Tribolium castaneum: one gene and its partner. Each later gene encodes a partner of the first gene's protein in a complex. Links are inferred from orthologs where the notes say so. Each region holds a gene or a part of one and is shown on either strand. Other genes may lie near its edges. The genes, in order: SCAP and Trc8.

Region 1 (4,400 bases):
CTGGAGTTACAGAAAGAAAGTTTTATCTTTTTTGCAATTTTTTGCTGTATTTACTTACCTGTTTTCGCTTTTGATGCTGAAGTTTTTGTCTTCTTCGGGTTTTTTCATGGTCATTTATTATTAAAATCACAGTTTTGATCTAACAATACAGGAAAATGTCCGCCAAGTTTCACACATTTGTAACTGCATCACTTCATGTTTAAAACTTTTTCGCCTTAAATTTTTTGTTAAACGATTTATCTATGCTGATACACATACCTGCAAGGCTGCTGGCTTTAGAACACTACAATGCGAACTTGAATTCGTAATTCTCTCCATTTAATCAAACTTAATGTATCTATACAAGACCTTAGGGGCCATGGAAGAAAATGATCTAATTTATCCATTAAAATCAATTAGTAGGTTTTATACGTAGGTGACATACTTAACAACAACTCAGATACAGGCTGTGCCGAAACTGAGTCAGATGTTTTGTTTCATTTTACACTACGTTTCTTATTTTCAGGTATTGATTGTCTTCTCATTTTTATCAAAAAATTCAGCAGAGCAGTGGCCGATAAATGATTACAATTTTGACACTGATTCTGCCGAGGTGGCAGATATAAATTATTTAAATAACATAAATAATTATGATAATAATAATTATGACGATTATGATGTTTGGGATCAAATCGAACATGATATACAGCTTTTAGAGGATACTGATGATTCTCTAAAAACTCGTGGAATACCAACTGGACACACAGTAAAAGCATCGAGTTGCTGCTTATTTCGAAATATTTTAAGTGTTTTGTAATTTATAGAGGAGAAATAAGTTAGGATGCGTAGAAAAATGGACAGTACACGATGTTCCAAAAATGTCAGAAGATGAGGAGATATATCCAAAGAGGTACCACAATATAACTTGTAAACCCGCCACTGGATCACACCAGGAGTCAGTCATGATGGGTTTTTGTACAGTGGTGTATAATCCAACGTGTGAAACAGCCTATCGTCAAGTTCCTATTTTTACAAAAAAACATAACTGTTGGAAACATACTCGCACCATTCCAGTGGAACAGGGATGCAAGTGTCGTCATCAGTAAACATCTAAATGTACAATAAAGGACTGGATTTTTCATAAATTATTTTTAACACATTTTTATTTGTATAAGCAAATAAACTTTACTGCTGAACAAACTTTCTTTTTTATCGAAATTCCCAAAATTCAGTTCCCGATAAAATTAGCCTAGTCTTTGAACTTAAGTTGGAGATATAAGGGGATGTTTATTGAAAAAAAACCGTAGTAAGCAGGCAACCAACAGTACACATTAATAAAAACTTGCAGTTGGCTGTGTGTTGCAACTAGTGCCACCTTCAGCTTATGATTATCAGTAATCGCTCACTGCAGCCAATCATTTTCTGCATGCGAAATTACATGTGTACTCTTATTTGTAGTTGTTGGTATTTATAAAAAATAATAGAGGCTTGCGCCCTGCGGCGTGTATTTTCGTAATTCGTCATCCTCAAGTGTATGAATGAGGTGTTTATCAATTTTTTGTAATAAAAACAATAGTTTAAATCATTGTGATGCTTGGTAATTGAATTAAATCAAGTCGGCAACGATGACAGTATCAAAGGTAAGTTGATATTCTTATTGCGAACCGCCGTAAACTGGTGTAATGTTTTTTGTAGGTTATGTAGATTCTTAATTCATTCTTTTTAAGATAAATGATTCATAATCATCTATTAATAAAAGTTATTATCGTGTGATTAGACACAGATTTAACTGTAAAAGATTAAGATTGGCCATTCCGTTATTTATGATTTATATGACCTTTGTCAATGCCCAGTGTAACGTAAGTTCGTAGAAATTGGTTACGTTGAGGTTATTTGGTTTTTGGAGGCGTAGGTCAATAAAGGACTAAACTGCTGAATAGATTCATTTAAGAATTATCTAACAATCACTTGGTGATAATAATTATTGTGCAAATTGTATTAACCTTGACTTCTGCTTTTCTTTATTAAAGATAATACATATATTATAACTGGATACACTTACATATTTTATAACTTGTTTTCCGAGAGCAAATTTTTTTTACCTCGCGTTAAAAATACCTCGAGTTATCTCCTTCGCAAAACACTTGTTTAGATTAGAGAATTTGTTCTTCCAAGAACTAGATTTAGCGATATTTGTTTCCAAAAAATAGGAATTTTCTCGAAATAAAGCTCAATAAAAAATCTACAGGGTGACACGAGTTGCACCTCCGACCTGACCATGCTTCAGGTTAGGCAACCGTTAGGTATTCTAAATAAACAATCAACAAAATCAATCGATCGAAGGTGTTTTTGGGAAGAAATAGTAGAAAAAGTGGCCAAATTCTGCATTAGTACTCAAATATACATTGCGCCATTGTTAGGTTTTGGGGTGGCTGTGAAACTGGCGCCACCCTGTATACTACGCTTTTTAAAATTTCGTATTTTTTTATAGATTTGGTGTTAAGAAGCGCCTCTCAAGTGACTTATTCTTTAATTTTGCATTTTTCGACTATGGCCAACGTAACATAGTAAATGAACACCCGTGGGGACGAACCCCGACCCAGGGGTACTTTCTGTGGAAAAAGCTCAACTCTTCAAGAGAAAGTTGCCCAATTTTATTACGCACATGGTCTGTTTTGTAGCACATATCCCGGGGCTTTGGTCTTCGTCGCAATTTGTGCAACTCTGCTCTCTTGGTAAATAATACAAACATTGCGTAACAATTCAAGGTTGTAATAGAATATCGTATGTTAATAAAGGCTTTATTTCCAGTTATCCATTATTAAATTTGCCTCTCCCTGGAAACTCGCCTTTGCAAACATGGACATCGAGCGTGAATTCCAGCTCGAATGTGCCACCTTTTTGCTACATTCAGCAAGTTGTGCTGAAGAGCACGGTCCTGCCGTGGGGCCCCGAGTTACACCTAGGTGACGCCTTCAGGGCGCCTCTTTACGAGGCTTTTAAACTTTTGGAAGCTGTTAGAAATTACCAGGATGAGTCCACGAAGAAAACGCTGGGACATGTGTGCTTACATGTCGAGTCGATTAGGAAAAGTAAATCAAACTACAAAAACATCCTGCCGGAGTATAGTTGTTTAGTCCTGTCGCCGGCTAACTTGTGGCAACAGGACGTCCTCAAATTTACGCAGGATAGCTCTCTACTTACCACAATTTTCAACCATCATGTAAGAATACGAGCTTCGCTTGTTCGTAATGTATATAAAATTTTTTGACTTCAGAACTTCCAAAAAGGCAAAACATCAATCACGGAAATGATGTTCGGTATGAAGGTGTTTGACACCGGGATTAAACGATATCCGTTGCGAAACCGCTACAGAATCATTCAGTACGCCATAACACTTTTTTTCAAGGAATATGACGAAAAGTAATAATTCGTTCATAGAAAGTTTTCAGACTTTCTAATTGAAATTGTATTGCAGGTTTGTTCATGGTTTGCGCAGAAAGCTGCAGTCGGTGTATTCCTTACACCAAAATTTGGAAAACGGAACAAATGCTAACTTTGCCACGCTCAACGACACTCTCATAATCCAATATCCCGGTGAAATCAACTTGGTCGAGTTCATTCCCATTACTTTGGCGTTTTTAATCCTGTTCCTGTACTTTTATTTCTCGTTTCGCAAAATCGAATTAATTCACTCGAAGCTCGGAATGGCCTTTACTTCCGTTCTGACCGTGTGTGCAAGCCTCACAATGACCTACGGCTTGTGTTTTTTCTTCGGCCTAACTCTGAACCTTGAAGGAAAAGTTGTATTTCCATATTTAGTGTTGCTAGTTGGCTTGGAAAATGTCCTATGTTTAACAAAAAGCATAGTTTCGTCGCCCCTCCACCTCGACGTGAAAATCCGCATAGCGCAGGGTTTGAGCAAAGAAGGCTGGTCCATCACCAAAAACCTCCTCCTGGAAATCACGATTTTGACGTTCGGGATCTTCACCTTCGTCGCGGTCATCCAGGAGTTTTGCATTTTTGCGGTCGTTGGTCTCGTGACCGACTATTTCATGCAGATGATTTTCTTCTCGACGGTTTTGGGGATTGACATCCGGCGGAAGGAGAACATGGTGGAGAGACACAATCTGAGCTTTCGGAGCAGTCTCTTCCAAAGCCAGGTTTTCTACGATAAGTCGTTCGGTATTCGGCGATCGAAGTCGCACCCGCGACTGTCCTCCTTCCCTGCCAATATCGTGGCAGGGCAGGTGCAGGGCGCCCAAGAGAAAAAAATCCCGAAACGGTTGAAACTTGTGAATATTTGGACCAGGACGCGGTTTTTCCACCGCGCTTTTATGATCTTGATGGTGATTTGGATTTCGAATATCGCCTACAATAGCGGCTTCATCGAGCATTTTATCCTGAATAACAGTTATTTT
Region 2 (2,456 bases), on another chromosome or scaffold:
TCCCGTTTGCATTCCTCGCCCCCAGTATGCTCTCAATCCTCCCGGTGCCTTCGTCCCTCCTCAACCACATGCCAGTCTTCTCCGCGCTCTTGCCCCTGGCTTTGGTCAAATTCGTCCTGTGGTCGTCCGTAGTGCCTATCATCCAGACCCTTTACAATGGATACACACACGCGAGGACTTTCGTCTCGAATTTCGGGATGTCGGCCCTTGTGGAGACGGAATGGACGCGTCTGAACGTCCCGGAAGTCCTCCGGACGTTCTGGATGCTCCGCGTCCTGGAACACGCCGGGATCTTCTTCGCCTCGGGTTACTGGGACCTGGAGGACGACCACACGCCCTACTTCCGGCTAATGAAGTACTTGTTAGTCACGGGGTGTGACACCTTGACCGCAGTGTTGGGCATCACGAGTATAGTGTCTTACGTGTGCAACTACATCGGGAAGTTCTTCCAGTGGTTGTTGTTAAGTGACGACGAAAATGATAAGAATTTTGGGACGGTTTCGGCGATAGTGTTCTACATCCTTGCCTTACAAACCGGCCTAACCGGGCTCGAGCCGGAGATCAGGTTCGTCCGGTTGTGCCGGAACTTCTGCCTGTTGTTCACGGCAATTTTGCACTTTGTGCACAACGTGGTCAATCCTCTGCTGATGAGTTTGAGTGCTTCGCACAACCCGTCACTGAGGCGCCACCTGCACGCTCTGCTAGTCTGTCTGGTGCTAGTGCTACTGCCACTGCTCCTAATGTACTACCTGTGGTCCACTCAGGACACTTCCACCTGGCTGTTGGCAGTGTCAGCCTTCAGCATAGAAGTGATAGTCAAAGTGTTCGTCTCCTTGGCCATCTACTCCCTGTTCCTGCTGGACGCCCGCAGGGAAACCTTCTGGGAGAAGCTGGACGACTACATATACTACATCCGCGCGTTCGGCAACACCGTCGAATTCTGCTTCGGCATTTTCCTCTTCTTCAACGGCGCCTGGATCCTCCTGTTCGAGAGTGGCAGCGCGATCCGCGCGGTCATGATGTGCATCCACGCCTATTTCAACATTTGGTGCGACGCCAAGGCCGGCTGGTCGGTGTTTATGAAGCGGCGAACGGCCGTCAACAAGATCGAGAGCTTGCCCGAGGCTGAGGAAGAGCAGTTGAGGCGTTTGGACGACGTTTGTGCCATTTGCTACCAGGAGATGCGGTCGGCGAAGATCACCCGGTGCAAGCACTTCTTCCACGGGGTGTGTCTGAGGAAGTGGCTGTATGTGCAAGACCGGTGTCCGCTGTGCCATGAGATCTTGCACGGGATGGACTGTGATGAGCGGAAGCAGAATCAGCCGAGGCCGACTGACCAAGAGGAGGAGAATAATTACGATAGGTGATAATTTTAAGATGTGATCTTAGGGAGTTTTAAGTTAGGGTTCGCGGAGTGTGCGTATTTTAGCGACTTTGACGAGGATTGAATTGGTGGAGTCTGTGATTTGGTCGGGGTGAGCCGACAGAACGATTGTTGAAAGGGTACTTATGTTAAATTTTTCTTGTAAATATCGATTGTACAGATTAGACGGTAAATACTTTCCTTGATTCAGTTTCGTTGTTATTTATGAAATTTTATAACTAAACACTTAAGTCACTGGGGCACTCCTGAATATGCTGTTATGTAATTTATTATAGAATAAAAGCTATTTTAAGTTTGTGGCCGTCTTATTTCCCATCATCCTTTCACCTCAAAAAACATTCCAAATTTTTATTTTGCACCGATTACCGATTAATCGCCGCTAATTTCAATGAGATATCTCGCAAAAAGTACAGATTCGGCAAAATTAAGTGTTTCAACAAAAAACCGATGCCGTTGTAAGTTGTAAACTTATTTGCTGAGCATTGAAAAGTTTTTCTTACAAAAACTGTAACACCAAAGTAATCGGCGTGAAAAATTCAAAACAGTGCCAATTTTAAGGAGAAATCTGGCGAAAATTCCATTTTCAAACGCTGATTACGGCAAAATTAAAAAGCTCAGACGAAAAAAACATCGGCACCGTTGTAATCGGCAATCAAACTTGGGTTTTTCCTATTTTGTCAACTGCGAAGACATAGTTTTCGCCAAAAACAGGTTAAAAATTACTATAATTTGAATTCCGTTTTTAAAACTACGATAATGACGCAAATATGGTCACAAAAAGTCAAACACCTAAGTAATCGGTGTGAAAAATTCAAAACGGTGCCAAATTTAAAGAGAAATCTGGCGAAAATTCCATTTTTAAACGCTGATTATGGCAAAATAAAAAAGCTTAGACGAAAAAATAACCGGCATCGTTGTAATCGGCAATCAAACTTGTTTTTTTTTTCCTATTTTGTTAACTGTGAAGACATAGTTTTTGCGAAAAACAAGTTAAAAATTGCTATAATTTGAATTTCACTTTTAAAACTACGACAGTGACGAAAATATGGTCACAAAAAGTCAAACGCCTAAG

Evidence for each region.
Region 2: SCAP (region 1) and Trc8 share a complex: the UniProt entries of both Homo sapiens proteins name them as parts of the SCAP-SREBP complex. The link is inferred for Tribolium castaneum from reciprocal best matches to the Homo sapiens genes SCAP and RNF139.

What each region holds. Positions count from the first base shown.
Region 1 is NC_087398.1:6,299,910-6,304,309, forward strand, and holds the start of SCAP (sterol regulatory element-binding protein cleavage-activating protein), read left to right. Parts: upstream 1-1,379; 5' UTR 1,380-1,619; intron 1,620-2,470; 5' UTR 2,471-2,550; coding exon 2,551-2,714; intron 2,715-2,790; coding exon 2,791-3,202; intron 3,203-3,256; coding exon 3,257-3,402; intron 3,403-3,457; coding exon 3,458-4,400. Other genes in the region: fray (serine/threonine-protein kinase OSR1), read right to left, coding at 59-114. UniProt on the Homo sapiens protein: Escort protein required for cholesterol as well as lipid homeostasis.
Region 2 is NC_087395.1:24,734,850-24,737,305, forward strand, and holds the end of Trc8 (protein TRC8 homolog), read left to right. Parts: coding exon 1-1,367; 3' UTR 1,368-1,679; downstream 1,680-2,456. UniProt on the Homo sapiens protein: E3-ubiquitin ligase; acts as a negative regulator of cell proliferation through mechanisms involving G2/M arrest and cell death.